2 linked regions of the Oreochromis niloticus genome follow. The protein of the gene in region 1 purifies or fractionates together with the protein of each later gene. This does not show direct contact. Links are inferred from orthologs where the notes say so. Each region holds a gene or a part of one and is shown on either strand. Other genes may lie near its edges.

What was found. The genes of interacting proteins can lie anywhere in the genome.
Region 2: the proteins of fbxo10 (region 1) and acsl4a purify together in Homo sapiens (affinity purification with western blotting; 3 studies listed by BioGRID, with this or other methods). This does not show direct contact. The link is inferred for Oreochromis niloticus from reciprocal best matches to the Homo sapiens genes FBXO10 and ACSL4.

What each region holds. Positions count from the first base shown.
Region 1 is NC_031971.2:22,576,492-22,584,339, forward strand, and holds the start of fbxo10 (F-box only protein 10), read right to left. Parts: upstream 3,326-7,848; 5' UTR 3,022-3,325; intron 2,683-3,021; 5' UTR 2,638-2,682; coding exon 2,053-2,637; intron 1,918-2,052; coding exon 1,093-1,917; intron 914-1,092; coding exon 764-913; intron 459-763; coding exon 322-458; intron 96-321; coding exon 25-95; intron 1-24. UniProt on the Homo sapiens protein: Substrate-recognition component of the SCF (SKP1-CUL1-F-box protein)-type E3 ubiquitin ligase complex. Mediates the ubiquitination and degradation of BCL2, an antiapoptotic protein, thereby playing a role in apoptosis by controlling the stability of BCL2.
Region 2 is NC_031966.2:30,936,061-30,943,727, reverse strand, and holds the start of acsl4a (long-chain-fatty-acid--CoA ligase 4), read right to left. Parts: upstream 3,267-7,667; 5' UTR 3,118-3,266; intron 3,110-3,117; exon of another isoform or gene 3,085-3,109; intron 1,964-3,084; exon of another isoform or gene 1,429-1,963; intron 1,298-1,428; 5' UTR 1,117-1,297; coding exon 760-1,116; intron 671-759; coding exon 493-670; intron 366-492; coding exon 256-365; intron 1-255. UniProt on the Homo sapiens protein: Catalyzes the conversion of long-chain fatty acids to their active form acyl-CoA for both synthesis of cellular lipids, and degradation via beta-oxidation. Preferentially activates arachidonate and eicosapentaenoate as substrates.

The DNA of each region.
Region 1 (7,848 bases):
AATGGAGCAGATCCACTGACACACCTGTTATCATTCCTCTGCCGTTCTCATTTATAGCAATCCCTGCAGCCTGGCCCTGGAAGATGTGATTCCCACTGAGAAAGAAAGAAAAAAAAAGGGGGGATAAAAGTTCCCACGGAGCAAATGATGGATAGGAGAACAGAAAATTGGTGTCAAAAGAAAAAAAAAAAAAAGCTAGCTCTGCTGTAGGTTTTCTACAGAAATCCAGATTTATATCTTTTTAAACAAATCCAGTCTCAAGATATAAACATGAAAAGAGTGAATAATATCCAAATTAATTGCTTGCAGACTCCAACCTACCTTACCACGGGATTTCCACTGAAGAGAATATATACCCCAGCTTCTTTGTTGTTGTAAATCTGATTGCTTCGAATTGAACCTTTTCCATTGCCAAGGACAACAACCCCAGAGCGCAAACCACTGTGTATTTTGTTGCACTGTGGATTAATAGTTGATAGTGGATAAAGAGACTGAGGAAATTAGTTTCATCTGGAAAGCCTGAATAGATCATTTCTGGAAATTATAAATATTCATACTCTGGTTCTTTTTGTTTTATGCACGCAAGAACATCTTAAGCTCTTAAGTTGAGTAAGTTAGAAGAGTAGTGAACAAAATTCTCCTTATCCATGATATCTGGGCATGCTGCTGAAAGGGTCTGGGACATGCTATCACAGGAAATTTTTTGTTGTTTGCTTGCATCTTTAAAAAGTTGGAATCCAATCAGCAATTGTGTTGCATTTACCACAATGGTTGGGTTAGCCCCCTTTCGGATATCCAGCCCTGCCTCCCCGTTCGAGTGGATGTTGTTTTCTGCTATGAGGCCCTGAGCAGAGAGGCGCAGAAACACGCCTGATGCACGACATTCGCAGACCTCGTTTCTCAGCATTACGATCTGAAGCAGGAGAGAGACAGAAAAGGAAGGTGATCAAGTAGCAGCTTGAATAGGACACTGATGTTAAATTACTAATGACCCGAGCTACTTTAACTTGATATGTTTCCCGAATACACACAATACACAATCACAGATTCATGCCATTTGTATGAAGCAAAGTTACTAGGAACATTATTAACTGTGGAGTTTTGGATGCAGCGCACGGCGTAGTTCAGCCCACGAAAAACATTCTCCTCCAGTCGAGCTTGTCCATAATTGGACAAATGTACACCGCCCTTCCCGTCCCTGAAGAGGCATCGTCTGAGGATGCAGCCAAGTGTCGATGCTGCCAACATGTGAGCCTCTGGGTCCCTGTCTAACTCCTGCTGTAGGGTGAGAGGGTCAGGGATCATGGATGGGGGATCGGGGGAAGAGGAAAGCGGAAGAGAGCCATCTGGCTGGGGGTTGAGCAAATGCGATAGGCCATGATGGTCACATGGGATTTTGTACTCCAGTGTAAAATGCTTTTTGGTGTTGTTGGCCCCCCCCTCGTCTCTGTTCTCCTCTCCCTCACTGCGCTCACCATCACTCCAGCCATCTTCAATCACTGTCCTCTGACATACCCCATCTACCCCTGTTCTCCTCTTCCAGTCATCTATGGTTATGCTCTCCTTTTTAACATTAGCACCTGGAGGTTGGTGTCCACCAGTGGAGGCAGCCGGATGTCCTTTGGGAGAACTATTATGCTCAGATAGGCCACATGATGGGAACGTCCTAGCCAGAGCTGCCAAATGTTTACAAGCCCAGTTCCTTTCTGAGACCGGGGGACCTTCCACAGTCACTGAAGCTGTGTCACTTCCTGAGAAGTCACAGCTGTCAAATAAACTCAGGACAACTCCCAGCAAGTGTGCAGAGCTGCCCTGGGAGAAAGAGCAAAACCGAGCCTGGCAGGTTCCTGGCCCGCGGACTTGCAGCTGAGCTCCCTCAAAGTTGCAGTTATCTAGTTGGACATGTCCCCAGGATGTCTAGAGGAGAGCAAGACAGAAAGAAACAAAGAACTATAATTAGATTCTATTTTCTCAAGAAATTTGTGTTTATAGGAGTGTATAGACTAGGCCAATCTGACTCTGAGACTCTTAGGAAACAAGCTGCTACTTCACCTTGTAGACAACCGTGGAGAACCAGGGTGGCATGAACACCAGATTACACAGCCTGGCAGTAGGGCACTGCTGCTCCATACACACTAAGAGGGCCACCTCGCCTAGTCGGCCTAACCCAACCAGCTCCACCGGTACTTTCAGCGCTACCTCAGCCTGCTCCTCATACACCCCTGGATGGAGCACCACTCGGTCGTAAGGTCCCACCACCCCAAGGGCTCCGCGCAGGGTCTCAAACTCACATCCCGGCCCCACGTGCCAAACCCTGCGATCTTTCCGACGGCGGAAGAAGAGGAGGCAAGCGGAGGACTGGAGCTCTGGACCATTTTGAGTCCAGGTGCGGGTGGCAAGGGCATGCTGTTTCAGGGCCTCTCTCCACGAAGGGGGCTCCAGATGAGGTTGACTAGGCCAGTTGGGATGTCGGCACTCAGGGCAGCCCAGGCAGAGCTGTCTCCAGCGGGTGTTATCCAGAGAGAGGATGAGCTCCCGCCAGGCACGGCACACCTGGCAGCAGCGGCCCAGGTCAGGGAGAGGGAGATAGGCTAAGATAACCCTCCACAGCTCCACGGGGAGGCTGCCCACCTCCATGGCAGCAGAGACGCCGGCTGGTTAGCACCGCGATGGGCGGGATACCTAGAGACAGACACACATGCACGCGCATTTCAGGCAACAGGAAGCGCAAACCGTTACACAACAATTATGAAGACGCACAATATTACACAACAGGATATTCAAGTGCGTTTTGTTTTTAATATTCGCACATCAACACCAAATGGCGCCACGACCAGCGTTAATTTTAGCCGAAAAACAAAATACAGCGAAAACTAGATATGAATTATATAACCTTACTGTTCATTTTGCGTATCGGTAAACGATATCTCCACTAAGGGCCTGCAATATTGCCCTGAAAGTTTGCTGCAGTTAAACGCGGTTAGCTAGCGGCGTAACTAACGCTAGCCAAAACGTCCTTACCTTTTACCAGTTTGCCATAGTCAACACATGTCGGCTCGACGTTTAGACAAGCCATCCATCCGGCGTCGCATGCCTGCGACACTGACTTTGTCTTCGCATTCTTCGGGAGTTTACAGTTATCATAATTACTGCAGATGTACCATCGAAATAAATGGAGTTCAGACGGTTGCTTACAGTTTACAGCAAGAAACCCAAGATCCCCATCTTCCGCTTCCCAAAAGTGGGCGTTTACTTCAGTTTCCCCTTGGTGCATCCGAGGGGAAGCTGAAGTATAGGGAAGAATGTTGTTAACTAGTTAGACCCCAAATTCAGAGCCGGTCCAAGGTTCTATGGTGCCTTAAGTGGAATTTAATTTGGTGCCCCCCGCTAATCCCACCTCAGCACCCCAATATTAACTATATATTATCAATTAAAAAAAAAAAAATTAAAAAAATAAATAAATCTATGTACATCCTACATTTACCAGAACTATTATCATGACTTTCTAGTGTACTGGAGAGAAATAAAAAAAAAAACAGTACCTGACAGTGTATTTTTTTAAACATACTAACTGTTTAATTGTTGTTGAAATGTGTAAAATGACAGAACAATCATAAGGAATTTAACATAGGCCTAAATATTATCATTTTTATACAACGATGCAAGTTTTAAAACAGAACAAATTAAACAGAAAGCTAGCAGTAGGTTACCAACCATAATGCCTGTGGTTTCCATTGCCTAAACTCAACACACCTTTAGCCAATTTTGTTACAGTAAAATAAATAGTGAAGTAAATGTGAGACTAAATGCGCTTTTCTTTTCTAAAACAGTAAAGTCAGCATTTATTAAGTTATCATTTTACTTTGTTTGAGTCTGGAATCTGGAGTTTTGGTCACTCTGAACTTGCATGGCTTCTCTGTTTATATTACATTTGCACACTGAGTGGAAAAAAACTGAACTGTTAACAAATAGGTCATCTCTAATTAATGGATGTTTTTCTGGTAGCTTCTGGCTGCATAGAATGTGAGTAACGGGTTAGCATGAGGATGAAAGGACTTAATACAGTAAGTACATTATCTATTTCCACTCAAAAGTAGAAAAACCTTTCATTTTGTCTTTCTGAATGCATAGGCAGTTTCTATTAAAATAGGTTAAAATAGACTATCACAATACACAGCCAAAATAACAGTGAAACACTCCATTGTCAATATCAAAATCCAGTGCCAATGCTAAGGCAAAGAGGCCTGCAGCTCTGCCACAAAAGCAGCACTTTCCTTCCCACAGCAGTGCGTTTTTTTGCTGATGAATGTACCCTTCAAAATCCATTCTCTCCTAATTTAACAGTCCTTCGCAGCTGTTAGAATAAGTATTAGCATGGAAAAAAACGGAAGTTCATTATATTAATGTAAAAGATCACATCCTGAAGAGGTGAGAGTCCTGCTGATTTCTTGTCTGCACAATCACATGGATTGCCCTACCCCATCTAGCCAGCAGATGTCACTGTTGAAACATTTTGATCAGAACCTCAGCAGTGAATACTTAAAAACAAATAGATAATTTATTTAATAAATTATTCTGACATGTGGTAAATATTAATTTCAGTCAGTTACTCAGTGTTGACATTTAATATTGCTCTTGTCTTTAGAAAGATAACCACTTTTAACGCCCTTTCATCTGCCACCAATCTGTTACATCATTTACTGTCTTTCATTTCATACCTCTAAATCAATGATGTGGTTCTTATGTATACCTCAGAATCTCTTGCAAATCTCTTCACCTTTGTAAGCTATTTAATTCAGCTTCTTAGCGTGATGGCTCTAGTCAAACTGCAAAGCATTCAGGACTCAGGGGCTTTTATTGTGAAAGGTAAGGACATGAGCACATGGCAGAACGGATCGTGTTTCTCGGGTCTGCTTTGGCCCACTTATCAACCAATCAGCGTTCAGCCTATGCCAAACTATGCGTTGTTGGATTTCAAGAGAACGGCACGGGAGCACGCGTGTGTAAGCCGAATACCCGTCTCCATGGGGTCTACATACATATGGAAACGGACAAAACTGCGGTATCATAAAATAACCCTGAAAGAGAAAACGTGACTTCACTGCACACCTGCGGGGACCGGTTGCTATGACGACTAAAGCCACTGAGAGGAGTGTTAGGAAGGCAGACGTGAAGGTTTCAAAGAAAAGCTTATCAAGTGAAAAGTACAAGTCGTATTAAATAATTGTTTCAGCCTGACTGGCAGCAACTTTCCTACTACAAAATATGAATTTTTCACATCCATAGTTGAATTCAGTTTTATTTATACAGCGCCAAATCACAACAGGTCCCTCAAGGCGCTTTATATTGTAAGGCAGACCCTACAATCATATGACTCCCTATGAGCAAGCACTTCCCACTGGTGACAGTGGGAAGGAAAAACTCCCTTTTAACAGGAAGAAGCCTTCAGCAGAACCAGGCTTAGGGAGGGTCAGCCATCTGCTGCAACCGGTTGGGGTGAGAGAAGGAAGACAGGTTAAAAGACATACTGTGGAAGAGAACCAGAGATTAATAACAAGTATGATTTAATGCAGAGAGGTCTATTAACAAATAGTAATTGAGAAAGATGACTGAAGAAGAAATACTCAATGTATTGTAGGAATCCCCCAGCAGCCTATACCTACTGCAGCATGACTAAGGGAGGATTCAGGGTCGCCTGATCCAAAAGACTGAGCATTGTGCAAAAATTCCTCACCAGCACGTCATTCTGAGCATCAAACCATGCATAGAAGTTGCTAAGTGCATCTGGTAGGGAGGCGTCACCATTACAGCCAGGTGTCTTCTTCCTGTAGTTGATGATGGCCTTGATGGCCTGCTACATGTGCCGCGTGTTGCGGCTGTCTGGGAAGTGGCCATGGATTCTTCTGCCATGTGCTCGCTTCGCTGAACTGATGACTCCAGACAGTTTGGCCCTTGCTATTCCCAGGGCCGCCTTGTCGCTGGCTCTGAAGGAGTCTTGTGTTTTTAGCAGCTCACACACTTCTGAAGTCATCCACAGTTTCTGGTTAAGGCGTGTAATCTTGGATATCATCGATGCACTTGCTGATGTAACTGGTCACAGATGATGTGTACTACTCCAAGTTGGTGTAGTCATCATTTGTTGCTGCCTCCCTGAACATATCCCAGTCTGTGTGCTCAAAATAGTCCCGAAGAGCAGAGATTGCTCCTGCAGGCCAGGTTCTCACCTGTCTCAGAACCAGTTTGCAGTGTCTGACGAGCGTTCTGTATCCTGGAATTAGCATAACAGACAAGTGGTCTGAGTATCCGAGCTGGAGGTGGGGCTTTGCTCGGTACACTCTGGGAATGTTTGTGTAAAGAAGATCCAGCGCATTTTCCCCCCTCGTCACAAATTTCAAATGTGGATGGAGGTCCACGTGTTCTATGGAAGCTGGTTCCATAAAAAATGGGCCGGAAAACCGAAGGCTCTGCCTACCTTTCTACTTTTAAATACTCTGGGAACAACAAGTAAGCCTGCAGCGCAAGAGCGAGGTGTTCTAATGGGGTGATATGGTACTATAAGGTCATTAAGATAAGATGGAGCCTGATTATTCAAGACCTTGTATGTGTGGATTTTGAATTCAATTCTGGATTTAACAGGGAGCCAATGAAATGAAGTCAATATAGGAGAAATATGATCTCTCTTTCTAGTCCCTGTCAGTACTCTTGCTGCAGCATTTTAGATCAACTGAAGACTTTTCAGGTAGTTTTAGGACATCCTGATAATAATGAATAACAGGAGTTTAGCCTAGAAGTAATAAATGCATGAACTACTTTTTCAGCGTTGCTCTGAGACAGAATATTTTGAATTTTAGAGATGTTGCGCAAATGAACGAAGTCAGTCCTACATATTTGTTTAATATGTGCATTAAAGGACATATCCTGGTCAAAAATGACTCCAAAGTCCCTCACGGTGTTACTGGATGCCAAGGTAATGCCATCTAGAGTAAGTATCTGGTTAGATACTATATTTCTAAGATTTTCAGGGCTGAGCACAATAACTTCAGTTTTTTCTGAATTCAATAGCAGAAAATCACATCCATGTAAGTGGACATGGTCATACCATGAAGTCACCCCACGCTTCTTATTGTCTGTACAAGTGTGTGTGTGTGTGTGTAGTATGTGCCATATTTTGTAAGATAAGATGGAGCCAGTAAGCAGTTTTTCTGCTTAATTTTCCATCTTCATTTAATTATCTTATTAAATTATTGTATGTTAAAAGATTGATTGATTATACTTTATTCATCCCGAGGGAAATTGGATTAAGGCTGCCAGCCGTGCCAGCGCCGTCTTACCCATCCGACCATACATACATTACACAAACATCACATGGGGAAGACAGGTCAGAGGGGTATAGCATGGAAAAGCACAACATGAGGAAAGATAAGGAGAAAAAAATAACTCCCCCCAGACTGAGCTCCAACAGGGAGATCAGTTTGAGAACAGAAAAAAACACCTCTGCACATAGCACATGAAAAAAACTCTTAATACACCAAAGAAACACATGACAAGCAACAGGGATGGGTAAAGGGTGAGAGACAGCCAATGTAGACAGTACATCCGGGCCTGCAGCCTATGCGCTGGTCTCCATGATCCACCGTCAGCATTGGAAGCGTCGAAGGCGTTTGGAAGGGGAGGGGGGATGAGTGTATATCTGCATGTGTATATGTCTGTGTGCGTGTGTGTGTGTATGTCCAGAGTTCAGCTGAGACAGTGTCCTTCGCCCTGCCGGGCTAAGTAAATAGTCTTCCAGCCAACCCAGGTGGCCTTGCATAGAAAGGGAAGAACAGTCTAAACACAGTCTGTAATCAG
Region 2 (7,667 bases), on another chromosome or scaffold:
TTCTTTTTTTAAAATTGCTTTAACAAATCAATTCTGTGTTCCTTATTTCATCCATGAAGCTGTGGACAAAAATATTATTCTGGGTTTTCCAAACTTTAATGTTAACAATTTGCTACATCTTAAATTATAATCATGTGATGATAATTGAGGCTGGTTAGATGGTAAACAAAGACATCTCATGAGAATAATCATATCACTGCTTCTCTTGTTCTTAGGAGTGGTGGTTGGACCATGTGCTGTAAAGGATTAACTCACTTTCAGCTTAGTCTCAAGGAGCTCCACGCTGGTGACCAAATGTGAAACATCCGTCTCATTCAGTCCGAAAGCAATTGCATCCTCCCCCAGTGTTGCGTAGAACGTCACCACTGCAATAATAATATTTTTTTTAAAAGGATTTCAGTGAGTGAGAGCATTAAATTATGAAACACTTAACACAGCATTCACGCTATCTGACCCCAAAATCTTGGATTGAACGCGCTGAGATATACTTACGTGGGAAATTGCGCCTAAAGCATGCCTGAGCAGTGATCATCCACTCTGCTCTGGTTTCACAGAAGATCGCAATAGTGCTTTTGGGTTGCTGCCCCAAAGCCGCCAATCCACTGCCAAACTCATTGACTATGGAGTCGAGCTCATTGTAGGATAACCATTTGTACTCCCCTAGGATCACCTAAAAGGGGAAAGGGTCACATAAATAACACCGAACATCTCTGATCACTTAAGCATCTGTCAACAGAGCAGTAAACTGAGCAACCTTACCTTTTTAAAAACTTTGCCGCTGGGCTGAGTCTCGTTCTCTTCGCTCAGAATCTCTCGGGTTCCTAGACAGTCAGCTTCGCCGAAACGCTGCACAGCATGCTTAAACAGCTTATCGAGTGTGTCCTTGCCTGGGAAGTCTTCCCTGGCCAGGGAATCAAATTGGTCCACGGAGCGGTATGGTCCCTCGGCACAACCTGATTTGGAACGGGCTTTTATCCTCTTGGACAGAGCTTTTCTTTGGCCAGCTCCGGTGAGGTAGTACCAAGGCAGGAATGATACTATTGAGTACAGCCATATGATAAGGTGGATTGGAAAAAGGAGGATAGATTGGAGGACAGAGTCTGACTGAAGACCCATGCTTTTCTCTGGAAGGGAGCTGAGCAGCAGGTTATCAGAAAGGTGTCGAGCTTGCTGGTCCCAAAGATGTTTGAGGTGCGTCAGGAGAATTGTGTTGGACGGGAAGAGAGAAAAAAGCTCTTAAACTCTTAAGAGTCCCACAGTTGTAGTATGTAAATATTTGGTCCACAAAATGCTTAAGCTAAAGTTGAGACAGAAAAGAAAAACAAACAAAAAACACAATCAATTGATACAGTTCATTAATCAGCTGCCTGTGAGATCACTTAAATGACTCAAGTTAGATGTCAAAAGCAAGAGAGAGTTGATTTTCACCCAAATATCTATCGCATGCCAAGAGATGTCACAAAAGGGAAGTTGGGTGGTTAACCAAGTTCGCCTGGCGGTTGACTTCTTGCTTAAAGGAAATGACAGAACTCTGACAAAACACTAGATTGAAAATAAAAAGTGAACCATTAACCATCAGTATCTCAGGCTTATCTAAACCCTTCCACCACTGTGCTACCTCTTCTTTACAGACAGGAAGACTGCACTACACATGGCAAGTATCCACAGCCTCACCACCTCCTCGCTGCGTACCAAACCGCCTCTGTATGTCTGAAAGCTTTCAGTGCTCAGCTCGTTATAATGTCCTCTGTTGCACTCAAACACCTGCCTGCTTTTAAACAACAGGTTAACTGAAAGGTCATGGAGGGATGAAGTAGTGCGGAGATGTGGTCACACTGACCAGACTGGCTACTGTCCAATGAGGATCGTGCTGCAGACAACCAATGACAATACTCTTTAGGCTCACCCCACTTGGTGGTCAGGGAAGGGTCACTATAGAGCAAGCTCAGCTTGCTGATATCCTTAGAGTGCAGAGGCGGTAAAGTAGTTAAAACAAACTGCGTCTCATAATTGCAAAATGTAGTCAATATCCACATGTTTGCTCTGTGGCTGAACCCGTTTAGCACGTGACAAAGTAATTGTAGCCTACGGCAGTCAGCTATTATGTGGAAAGTTGCTTTATGGCACAAGACAGACACCGGTTACCTGTAAATAAAAGAACAGTGTGTACTTGGCTACATTAAGACATTTATGCAAAAAGAAGGTCAAACCACGTAACTGGCTTTCCCAATCCTGAAAGCTTACACACTTCATCGTGAGTCACATTTCAGTGAATCATATCCTCCGTGTACGTCACATCTGTCCATACATCTTAAAGAATGATAGTACACCCACACATGAATCAAAGCGGCGGAGATAGAAATATTTATATGTCAGGATCTTTTTCTGGGCTCTTACTTGTGGAAATAAAAATACCCTGAAAACATTCCTGTGTGATGACAGGACGTGGTGATGGTGATGATGATGGAAAAGCCATGGTTCACTAGCTTAAAACACTAGTTTTTCTCTCTCTCTTGGGTGGAATTGAATAAAAGTAAATTAAAATCATTTTACACGGGAATACGGGAGTGAGTGGTTCGATGCAAATCTCCTCACACGTCTATATCTAGTTGTAAGTGATAACACGTTATCTAACGGTAAAAGCCCAACACTGCATATCCGTTTAGGGCAGATATTGCTAACAAAAGCGACAGTTTAATACCGGGAAATGCTAAAGTTGTAGCCGGGGTCTGCGGTTTCCACTTGTAACACGTTACCCTAAAACACCATGAAAAGCAATACGAGCTGTAATTAAAATTAAAGCGACTTTCTCGCCCCCTTTACATAATTGGTCTGCTTCAAAATAAGGCGAGCTGGGAAGCAAATCTGACCTCCTTATCTAGCAGTGAAACGACAATGGGTCAGGAGCGGCATGGCAGACGAAATGACGACAAAAGCCGCCGCACGTTGCTGGCACGGCGAGTCTCACTGGCAAGTTGATTAACGTTAGCTGCTGTCGCTTAAACCCGCTCAATATTAGCAGCACACATTAACTAACGGATAAAGGCTCTAATGAGATTACAGCAGTCAGATAGAGAGTGATACCCTGCTGTATTGGCAGACTGGCAGCATTCTTACCTTCAGCTGAAGAAAGCCCGGTCAGCCGTGTGCCGCTCTTTAGCAAATGACCGAAAGTTACCTTTTGTCGGGACCTAGAAACCCGGAACCACTACGTCATCTGATTCCATATTTCTCGACCAATGAGCAGCCAAAGCGGATTTGCGCTCTTTTATGCTACGTCCGCTTAAAAACAAAAAGAAAAAAAGAAAAAGAAAAAGGTAACAGGAAGTCAGTAATGCGTATGTTCTCTGGCTCTGTTACAGCACCTGTATTTTTCTTTCATCATGTAATGGTTATGTGTGTATTTTTCCGAAGTTTACATCCAAACAAAAGCAAAATAATAATAATAATAATAATAATAATAATAATAATAAAGTTACCGTACTTGCACTCTTATCTAATATATTTTGCAGATAGATCTGATAATTGAAATCAGATCATTTGTTTACATATTATGCAGCTTACATAAATCCAGTTGAGATCTGATAATTTATGTTTATATATAATGGAACTCACATAACCTCGTATAATATTAGACTGAAACCTGGTTTTTACATTTATGAATCTGCTTTGATGTGTGCCTGATTTGGTATTTATTAATGTCACTGAAAATTCTACAAGCACCATTCCCCCTTGTAAATAGATCGATGGATAAATAGGTACGTAAATACAGCACAGACTGATTGCTGATTACTGGACTATGGAGTCCTTAGCCTGAACAAGATTATTTAAAATCATGTATCAGTAGCGAGTTTACCTATGAAACATGGAATAGATCCAGAAAAGCTCAAAACTGTAGGAGTTGGAGAAGTAAATCCAAGAAAAACAATGAAAGCACAACGGCATATCACTCTGTGATGTAAAAAAAAAAAAAAAAAAAAACAAAGAGAGAGAGAGAGAGAGAGAGAGAGAGAGAGAAAGAGAAAACTCTTTTAAAGCAAATAAACATCCCATCACTGAGGCACAAGTCAGCTGTGGAAACAAGGGATGTTGGATTTTTATTTATTTTTTTCAAATTCAGTGCATGAGAGCACTCATCCACAATAACAATACAACAACTTAGGTAAGATTCATCATCTTTATCACCACATTCTATTGTAAAATCACTGAGTTGACAAAATGACTCCCTACAGTACTGTGCAAAAGTTTCCGGCAACCCATGATAAATAGGCAGCTTCCTTGTATTTTGTTAGGGAAACTGGAAATGGGTGCAGCTATTTATTGAAACAAGTGCACATGTGGAAATATGAAGTCAATCTTGGCTACATGCAAAATCAGTATACACACATACATGGTAATAGAGCCTATGAATTGAAAGCAGAGATTGTATTTTAAGCTTTAAAGTCAATATTTGACATAATCACCAAAACTCTCTTAGTCAGATTTCTTGACATTTCTTTAAGTAGTCTTCAGGAATAGTTCCCCAGGCTTTTTGAAAGAAGTTCAAAGTTCTTCTTTGGATGTTGACTGCATTTTGTTCTGTTCTATATAAAGATGATCCCACACTGCTTCAATAATGTTGAAGTCAGAGCTCTGGGGAGGCCAATCCATGTCTGATATTGTTCATTGTGTGTTTTTCTATCCAGATAAGATTTTACTGCATTGGCAGTGTGTTTGGGATCATTGTCATGCTGAGCAATGAAACTGTTGCCAATCAAATGTTTTTCAGATGGTATTTCATGATGGATCGAAATGTGATGGTACTTTTCTGAAGTGATCATTCCACCCCAAGAAGAGTGCCTGACATGTAGCCCAAAACCATCATAGAGCTTCCACCATGCTTTACAAATGGCTTGAGATACTTATTGTTGTACCACCCTCCTGCCCTCCTCTGTACATAGGGACAACAATTTGAACCAAAACTTTCACATTTGGAAACAGACCTGTTGTCATTGATTTTCAGCCTACTCCTTGTATAATTTGGGATATTATAGCAGTCAGACGTTGCACACGGATCCCACAGGCTTGATTTATTTTTATTTTTTTCCATCAAGGACATGACTTTCAGGTACTGCTCACCTGCTGTAGTCTTTTTTTTTTTTTTTTTTCTGTTGGAGCCTACCACTTCTTCTTTTGTCCTCTGCATTTCCAGTTTCCTCAGATTTTCTAAGGTCAACATATGCAAGGTTTTCAGCTAATAGCTGTTTGAGAATGACCTTACTGGTCCAAAACATATTTGTTAAACTGTGTTAACTTTGATGCTCTATGCTTAGATAAGTTATAGGTCAGTGTTGAGTGTCTTAACAAACAAAAATTATTCATTTGAAAATGGTCAGATACACAAATTGGACTGAAAATGACTGAAAAAGCAGACAATGTCTAAAGAAAAATGTGACAAAAATCCTTCAGAAAACCTGAAGAACTATTTTTTAAAACTACTTTAAAAAATTGTCTAACTCTTTGTAATTTTACATATAAGATATACTTTTGTGTTTGACTCTTTTGTTCCTCCAAGCCACAGGTGTCAAACTCTAGTCTTCGAGGGCCAGTATCCTGTAACTTTTACATGTGTCCCTGCTGCAACACACCTGAATAAACTTAGTAGGTCATTAGGGAGACTATAGAACTTGACTGCATGCTGAGGTAGCAATTCAGCCATTTGATTCATGTTACAGCAGCTAATGAATGAATGAACATGGTGCAATAAAAGTATTTTTAAAAGTACATTTTTCCAAACACTTAAAATTTATTTAAATTTACTTGAGTAGGATTAGTGGTTGCCACCTCAGCATGCAGTCAAGACCTATAGTGTCTTGCTAATGACCTACTAATGTTATTCAGGTGTGTTGGAGCAGGGACACATGTAAAAGATTCAGGATACTGGCCCTCAAGGACTGGAGTTTGACACCTCTGCGTCTAAGCAGTTGCACCAATGAGAATGCACCACGTTCCTGCTTGTAGTTCCTTGCGAAGGCTTTGGAAATGATACTTCCAAAACACCATTCAACCAGAACGTTAGAGCATACATGAGTCAGGCTGTTTCCACAACCGCTCAGCTGTCGGGGGCTACAAATATGATGTAAACAGAAGATTCTGAGCAATCCTCCCTTATGATAAGGTCTGGAAATCATGAGCTGCACCTTTCTGTAGTATTTCGCAAGAATGAATGAAAAAACGTACTGGAAAGCGCATATACCTTGGAGGTTTATGCAAACCATAATCTTGTCATTCCTGTTCTCCTTGGTACCTGGAATAGAGGGATGTGTTATGCAAACATGAGTTCCATGTGTGTAACCAATGAATCATAGAATGCTAACACATGCTAACCTAATAGTTAGCACGTGTTGTCAGGGAAGTTTGTGTAATGTTAATTCACAAACTCAAAGTCAGTTAATGAGTTTATTGTCGGATCACTGACACCACACAAAGCCCCAGTTTCTTTGTGACAAAAACCTTAAAGTAACAAGTGCCCAGAGATAAACTGGTTCAGGCCATCCTCTGCAGGTCACAGATGAAAGCTGGATTTCAAAGGCGTAACAATCTCCGTAGCTTTTCCTTTAAACATTCAAACAAAATCTCTAAAAGTGATTTCATCAAATTGCTGCTAGGGTCACTTCATTAATGTGGTCAAATTAATTTGACATCCTAAAATTATTCTGAAGTTAAACCTGATTCCTAGGATGTTTATTTTAAGCATCAATGCAATACTGGAGTAGCGCTAAAAAATTTTTCAGTTAAAACACCCAGACCAGTCATTGAAAAGTTCCACACACATTTAATATGAACAAATTGTTCATGTTAATGTCGCCCTCAAGTGGTCAGTGAAGTAGCAGATGGGGTTAATGAGGTTCAGCTGCTTTGGTGTTAATGAAATTAAGAGCAGCAACAATGACACAAACCAGACTTAATGAAATTAAGAGCAGCAACAATGACACAAACCAGACTTAATGAAATTAAGAGCAGCAACAATGACACAAACCAGACCTGGACCCTACAAAGGTCGCACAGATAGGCCAACTCCTCCAGTGCAGCTCATCAATAAATATCATTGGTATGTCTCCTAGCACAGACTCAAGAGCGTGGAGGAGATCCCAGGAAACAGGCAGTTACTATAAGAAAGATTTTTTTTTTTTATTTAAAAAGTGTTCTTTGTGTTAACGTCAATGTCGCCCTCAAGTGGCTGAAAAGTAGGAGAAAATGTTTTAAAACAAAATAAAACCAAAAGGAAAGTCAATCTGTCAAATAAAACTACAAACAAATAGGTTACTTTAAAGGAGTCCTGATTAAACCGATTTAATGCCAACTTTAATTCTCTCTTTTGTGTACATATTCTATTGGAAATACAGGTTTATTTATGCATCTGTTTATGACTAACTGGCCAAAGGCTAGAAATTTCCAGACCAATGGGAAATCTGTTTTGCTTCTCTATTTGCTCAGTTAATCCACTCCACGAGAATCTTTATTATTCATAAATGTAATAAAATAAAACGCAAGCAACACAAGTGGGTAAATAGACAAATGTATAACTATATGCATCTAATGTATCTCCCAATTACAGAAAAAGTAAATCGCGTAACCCTTATTGATACTTACTGCTGGGATTGATCAGAGCTCTGCTGATTCGTGCT